Linked DNA regions of Caenorhabditis elegans. The protein of the gene in region 1 purifies or fractionates together with the protein of each later gene. This does not show direct contact. Each region holds a gene or a part of one and is shown in the gene's direction. Other genes may lie near its edges. The genes, in order: wrt-2 and dbd-2.

The links.
Region 2: the proteins of wrt-2 (region 1) and dbd-2 fractionate together in Caenorhabditis elegans (co-fractionation; one large-scale study listed by BioGRID). This does not show direct contact.

The regions. Positions count from the first base shown.
Region 1 is NC_003284.9:3,091,667-3,096,372, reverse strand, and holds wrt-2 (WaRThog (hedgehog-like family)), read left to right. Parts: upstream 1-2,023; 5' UTR 2,024-2,076; coding exon 2,077-2,166; intron 2,167-2,251; coding exon 2,252-2,443; intron 2,444-2,493; coding exon 2,494-2,589; intron 2,590-2,647; coding exon 2,648-2,811; intron 2,812-2,860; coding exon 2,861-2,936; intron 2,937-3,013; coding exon 3,014-3,263; intron 3,264-3,311; coding exon 3,312-3,416; intron 3,417-3,467; coding exon 3,468-3,859; 3' UTR 3,860-3,978; downstream 3,979-4,706. Other genes in the region: sec-3 (Exocyst complex component 1), read left to right, coding at 303-401, 451-702; pccb-1 (Propionyl-CoA carboxylase beta chain, mitochondrial), read right to left, coding at 4,162-4,586, 4,640-4,706.
Region 2 is NC_003280.10:4,561,167-4,564,084, forward strand, and holds dbd-2 (DB domain-containing protein), read left to right. Parts: upstream 1-1,783; 5' UTR 1,784-1,784; coding exon 1,785-1,937; intron 1,938-2,026; coding exon 2,027-2,284; 3' UTR 2,285-2,294; downstream 2,295-2,918. Other genes in the region: M03A1.8 (ascorbate ferrireductase (transmembrane)), read left to right, coding at 1-201, 257-336, 381-544, 1,160-1,303.

The DNA.
Region 1 (4,706 bases):
TTAAAGTTGGAGTACCAAAATTTGAGGCTTTGCTATTTTAGACCCAACAATTCAGCGCATATACGCCCAATAAAAGACCAACAAATTTATTAAAGAGTGATCAATAAATAAAAATTAAGTTCCAGACGCTGCGACACCGAGAAGTTGTAAAAATTGTGATTTTAGCTGCAAAACCTTTTTTCCGACTTTGAACCTCCATAACTTTTTTTGAGGAATTTTCAAAACATCTCATTCGAATTTCGGTACTCCACCTTTAAACAAAAATCTCCCAAAACTATCGATATGTATTCCAAAAATTTCAGACGTTCTTCGACAATGTCAACAACTTTATCGAAACGCGTGGAATTCGTCCTGATGAAATCTCGTATCAACAACAATTCAGTCGCATTGAGCTTAAAAAGGTTGAATTTCTAGTTAATCATCAAAATCGCCATTTCATAAATTTTCCAGGTAATTTCACAACATCCGGGAAAAGAAGTGAAAAAAGGACTCGAGCAACTGTACAAGAAAATTGAGAAGAACCTGGTTGCCAATTCATCACTTTTGCAAGTTGTATGGAGAGATATGCAAGAGCAATTTGTCAAGCAAATTGCGGAATACAACAAACTGATTCTCACTTGTTACCCAGGCTCGAAGATTGAGCTCGAAGTTTCCACTGACACTGTACTTCAGTTCTTCTCAGAAATTGCTCAACAACACTAATATTACGACGAATAATTTTATTGAATTTTGTTGTTTTAATTCATTTAAAATTTAGTTTTAATTTATCAGAACTCTAATACTTACTGAACCATGCTTTGTAATATATTTATTTATCTATTCTGTAATAGGTGAACTTCGTTACATTACTGATGTCTGTAATATAAATTTACGGGTGTTCCCCATTCGAAAATAGTAGTAATGCTTGCTTTTTTGAAAAATAAATGTCTTGCTTGGTGACTTTTATTTCACGTATTTTCAAATGCTCACAAAAATTTCACGGAACTGACTTCTTGGTTACACATTTGTAGAAATTTTGACTGAATGTTTGCATTGAACTGGTCAACTTAAGAATCTGACATGCAAATGGTGTGTTTTCTGAAGAACACACTTTGGCAACTTTTAATAAAAAAGGGGTGTAACACGATTTAAATCTAATAAAAACAACTTCTATAATGTTATTCCGTTTATATCTCACTTTATGTTTTACATTTTACTCTTATATACATTTTTTGACTCATTTATACAGGGTGGTCCATAATTATGGACCACCCTGTACTTATATCTTATTTAAAACTATTTCATGTAAGAATTGTTTTAACAGCGCATTTTTTTTCATCACTCGATTTAAAGGTAAAATTGATAGGCCGCAATCTATTTTGGAAAACTTCAGAACAAAATTTAACATTTTAAGAGGTAACTGTGAAGGTTTATAAGAGAATTATAAACCGATCTAACCACTAAACATGGTAACGTAGAAAAAGTAAAATTAGGGGAGGGGGGATGTTTATTTATTCTTGGTTTTCAATTCTTATCAGACTCTGTAAAGTAAAATGAACATAACTTGTTCGAATAGTGTAGGAATTTCAAACAAGCTACAAATCTAGCTCCACATACGCGTGGAATAGCCGGTCATAAATCGTCTTCCGTTAACCGCATGGCTAGATCCACACCGATTCCATTTTTCTTGAATAAAACAATAGCTTGATGAAAATTGGGTAGCCACCGAAAAAACTGATTCGCGATCCGGATTATTGGTGACAAACATACGGCAAGTGAAAGTGTTGCACTGATAGAAACCGATACGAGAATATGCCTTTTGGGCCCCCCCCCCCCCCCCCCTACGGCTTCACTCCCGGTGTTGTAGATCTGACTTTCACTTGCCTTATCTCGAGGAATCTGGAGAGGAGAAGGAGGGACAACCGATCCGCGCGCGCGTAACAATACGGGAGATATAGAGGAAAAGCAGCAAAAAGACATTTTGATGACCTTATTTTCTTGTCGTTGTCGAGACGGCCATTGTCCCTTCCACGCCCAGCTTTTCATTGTAGTTCAAATCGCTTCTCATTGACAATCAACCTGCCAATTGTTTCTCGGATGCATACGCCGATCATATTCCTTTTGGCTTTAGTGCCAGTGGCCCTTGCCTCCTACTGTGGACAATCAGCTATTCCATACACTTTCCAAGTGAGCAACTCCTTGATTTTTAAAGAACAGAAAACTAATAAAGCCCATGATTTGTAACTGTACATATACTAAATGTTCACTTTAGGTACTAAGATCTGGCTACCCTGTTCTTGGGTGTGCAAGACCAAAATGCTTCGGATGGACTGCAAATGGAACAAGAGCTGGAGAAACTGCTCAATTCTATAGAGTTGCTGGAAAGGATGATGGATACCTCAGAAGATCCGATCAATTCATCAAGAGCCCAAGCAAAAATCCAAACTTTGTTCCACAACTTGCGGTTTGTCATTTATATGTATTTGCAAAAAAAAACGGTGTACTTTGTTTCAGATTTGCACTGATGAATACAAATCAAAAACATGCGAGGAGGGAGAGTGGGTTGGAGGGCTTTCACCACAATCGGATCCATTCGCTGACCAACTGGAGGTATGTTGAAAATGAAAAGTGAAATGACAATTTAATTAATCTTCCAAACATCGTTTAGATGAAATGCTGCAGTTATCAAGTTCTTATCAGCGCAGAGGATCGCGGAAACGCTATTGTTAAGCAAGGACAATTGGTAGTTGGAGGAGAGGTTTTGGATGGTTCTAGACTTGTTGCTTTTGATTACATCTCGAATTTGAGCAAGAGTGTTTCCGAAAATGGAACGTGAGTTTTATTCCCTCTCGAAACTAAGACCAATTTAATTCAATTTAAGCGTTGTTTACGTTGCTTCTATCAAGCGAATGCCATGCTTCGACGAAGAGCAAGCTGTGGAGAACAAGAAACGAGAAGTGAGAACTTTTCAGGCAAATGCTCAAATATTTCCGATTAATTTGGATGATACACTATTTATTTGGAGTAATTTCAGAACACAATCGTCGAGGCCGCCGCCGTTGTTGAACAACCAGCAACCACCCCAACAGCTTCTTCTGTTGTCACTCACCAACCATCAGTCACAGTTCCACAACAGGGAGCTCCACTTAACATTCAACCATATGCTCCACAACAACAACAAGTCCAACAGCCAGCTCAAGTCGCTTACCCGGGAGTTGTGAATCCAGCCACAAACTACGGACAATTTTCTCAACAAGCGTACGGAGTCGCACAAAATGGACAATGTGAGTATAGAACAATCAATTATGGTTAATATAGATTGCATGTTTTAGATTCTGGATATCCACAATATGCTCAACAGCAACCTCAGCCACAATACTACCAAGACCCATTTGCCGCAATGCTTCAACAACAGCACCAAGCATTCCAGCAACAAGGTTAGCATCGCCTAATTTCAGAATCACAATGAGATATATCCCATTTTCCAGTTTATGCTAACCAGCAGCAGCAACAACAACAGATGCAGCAGCAGCAGCAGCAACAACAAGCACAACCACAGCAACAGCAGCAACCAGCTCAGCCACAGCAACAACTTGGATTTGCCCCACTCCCACAGTTCCCACAACCAATGATGTTCCAAGCTCCACAAGTTGTCGCTCAGCCAGGAGTAGCAGCAGCAGCAGGAGTTCCACAAATGCCAATTGGTGCTCTTCCACAAATGCCGGTTCAAATGACATCTACACTTCCACCAATGACCCTCCCAAAACTTGAGGATCTTCCAAAGCTTCAAATTCCAAGCGTAGAAGATGTTGAGCAGGTCATCCCACCAGTCCAGCGTGCCATTCTAACCAGTGTTGCCAAATTTTTCGGAGTCCTCTAAAAGCGCCAACTAGCTAGCCTCAATTATCACATATGATTTCATTTGTCCCATTTCGAAAGCTCGTACTAATAACACAAAAATCTACTATTTATCTGAGAACAGTAATAAATACAATTTTCAATTATGACTTTACAAAACAAAAAAACGGAAAAAGGAAATAATACTCGAACAATTGGAATACGCAAATGGCGCATTTTGTATGTGGGATGAAAATTCACAAGTAAACACGTCAAATACCGAGCAGGCCGGTGAAATGGCAACATAATAGTATGGATTAAGGCGGAGTGGGTAGTGCTGGAAATTTAGAGTGGAATGTTTCCGTGCTTCTTCCATGGGTTCTTCAACTTCTTGCTTTCAAGCATGTTCAAATCCTCGCACACCTTCTTTCTGGTCTCTGATGGAATGATAATGTCGTCGACGAATCCTCTGACAGCGGCTGGGAACGGGTTGCTGAACAGCTCAGTGTATTCCTCCTCGTGTTGAACGGCGTGCTCCTTATCATTACGGAAAAGAATGGAGACTGCACCCTTGGCTCCCATCACAGCAACCTCAGCAGTTGGCCAGGCGTAGTTGATGTCTCCACGAAGATGCTTTGATGACATGACATCGTAAGCTCCTCCGAAGGCTTTGCGAGTAATGATGGTAATCTTTGGAACGGTGGCCTCGGCAAAAGCGTAGAGAAGTTTGGCTCCGTGACGGATGATACCTCCGTACTCTTGGGCAGTTCCTGAAAAGATATTTGATTTAATATTTGAAATACTTTCAATCGGGAAAATTTACCTGGCAAGAAACCGGGAACGTCAACCAAAGTGATGATTGGGATGTTGAAAGCATCGCAGAATCGGAC
Region 2 (2,918 bases), on another chromosome or scaffold:
CGTATGGTTTCAAATTCATCGAGCCTCAACTTTTATTGGTGTTTGTTGTATTGTAACCTCGATTTTGTGCATTTTAATTTCAACAAATTGGACCTGGAAAGGTACTGGATCTGAAGCATGGTACTGGACACAATGGCACACGGATTTTGGAACGATTTCTACTATTCTGGCATTCTCCCAGCCGTTGAATAGTTTGTTGAGGTAGATTTATTTTTGTAAAAAAATAGCAAAATTTTATACTTTTTATTTATTCCAGATGCCCACCTTCCAACTCACAACGTTCAATTTTTAATTGGGCTCATCGAATTGTTGGCCTTCTCTCCTACACTTTTGCTGGTAAGTTTCCATGACTAGAATTCAAACTTTTTATACAAATTAAGTGGCCGCAATCTACGTGGCTGCCGCCAATTATCGAAAGACATGGTCAGAGCCAACAATGGAAATTGTGCTGACCAGTGTGCCGACCATTTTGTGTATCGCCACAGGATTCGTAGTTTTGTATTTGGAAAGCGAGCAGAGAAATGGGTATAGGGAAGTTGAAATGGTAAGATTTTTCAATTTGCATTTAAAGTTCTAAAGTTGGAATATCCTATGCAATAAGAACATTTCTACGAAGATCATACCATATCATGTTGCGAATCACATGAACCAGCAGTCCGTATGTAGTTTACTCCTACGGGCAATATAGGCCAAATCACTGGAGATTAAATGATTAATTTATTTTTATTTCAATTATTGGCAACAAAAATTGATAATTTAGTATTAAAGAAGTGTGGAAAAGGGGGAAAAGTTTCTAAAAAAGTTAGTGATCCAAAACATAATATCTCATTTGTAAAACTAATAGTTTCGGTAAACAGTGAGAAAAATGAGTTTAAAAATGTTTTAAACTTGAATTCCCGCGCACAAGAAGTTTGAATATTTTTTGAGAATTTTTTTCTTAATTTTCAGAATTTTGTTGAATGTTCAAAGCACCTGAATTGCAATTTTTTGCATCAAATTTGAGAAAAAAAACTAGAATTTTTAAGGTAAAAAGAACATGTTTTATTAAAATTTTCAAGCAAAAAATTCTACAAAAATTAAGACTAACTTTAACGTCACAAATTTTTCAATTCAACATTTGTAACACAAAAAAATGTTCCACAAAAGACACAACTTACAGATCGAAAAATCCGAAAAAAATTCCAAAAAACCGGAGCGTCTTCAACTTATCCAAATCTCATGGATGTTCGCCGTTGTTGGAATCTGCTTCGGTGTCGCCATTTCATTATCTCTTCTGATTGCAAATGGATTCAAAAATGACTAATCACCTCTTTTTCAATGACAACTAATTCTCGTACCAACCACTTTTCTCTTTCTGACCTGACCTGCAATAATCCATTAAACGGCTGTGTGTGTCCTCTTTCTCACTTTATCACCAACTATCTCTTCTAGAAAATAAATATATATTTTCTATATGTTTCTTCTTATAACAGAGTCTATACATTATTACATGCAATTCATCTTTCGCAACATTGACCGGCCTCAAAAAATCCGATAAAAGTACAATGGTGACTGGTGTTCTAGGAAATAGGATTGTTATGATAGGGAGTGATATCTTATCTCTTTTATTATCACAGCCTGACCTCAATATGTCAGAGGTGGAGTCTTCCGGGTGACCCTTTAAATAGTCCGGGCCTTGACACCGATAGGCTGTGTATTCTTCATTTCTTCGATCTTCCACCTGTTGCAGTTTTCTTTTATTTTTCAAAGTTAACATATCTATATTCATAGTAATTAATTCTAGAATGAACCGCTTCGCAATTCTCCTGGCTCTCCCACTTCTTGCTCTTGCTGCTACTCCAAATGAGAAGCTGAAGCTATGCTGTGCCACGTTGAAGGATGCCGATAAGGAGTGCGTCGATCGATTCTGTGACTTCAATGCTCTTTCTCAAGCTAACGTAAGTTGTCTCCTGAGAGCTAGTTGCGCGTCAATTCTGATGTATTTAGTCAGCTTACTAGAAATAACCATTACACGTTCTTATTTCAGATTCTGAACTTCATGTCGACTTGCGGAGAGCGTGGACCAACTGTCGGAGAAATGTGGGATTGTGCTTCCCTCCGTCACAACCACGAGGACTGCTGCAAGAAGGCCGGTGTCTCTGGAGAATGCCTCAAGTACTGTACCGCTCATAAGGGAGCTCCATCCAACTATTTGGACTATGCTTTCTGTACCGAGAACTTCAACGAGATCCGTGATTGCTTCTACAACCATTTGGACAAGAACGAGCCATTCAAGAAGCTCTAAATGGAAATATAATAATTGAAATTTTCTTTATATTATGAAACGTGTATTTAATAATATGGAATAAAGATCAACTTGATGATAAAGTTAACAGTTTTCCAAGCTATTTTGTCTTTTGATTGGCTTGTCCGGAGTTCTGGAATTGCCAGTTCAAAGGCACATGATGTTTTTCCAAGTGGGTCTCGCCACGATCTCAGACATAATTGTCGTTACAGGGCCCAGTTTTCCAGGTGAAATAGAAAATATAGTTTATGAAATTTCAAACTCAAAATTTCCGGTAGAAAGCCCGGATTTAGGACCTAGTTCCATGTTTCCGCAATGTCCTACAAAATTCCCCCATTTTCCAAAACTACAGTAATCATACAGTACTCAATCACTACTTTACCCAAGCTACAGCAACTAACAACATAACTTTCCCAAGTTTCACGTCTCGCCTTCTTTCTCGTATTGTTTTGTTTTGACAATTTGAAGGAAAAAGCTGTTGAGTCGAGTGTTTGTCGGGGCGGCTCACACTGTAGTACAATAAGGCTTCACATGCGCCTACATAGGTAATCGCGTGCACTTAAAACGGAAAGTTGCTCACGGAGAATAAGAGAGATAGAGGCTCGGCTGTTTGTGTTTGATCTACATCTATGAA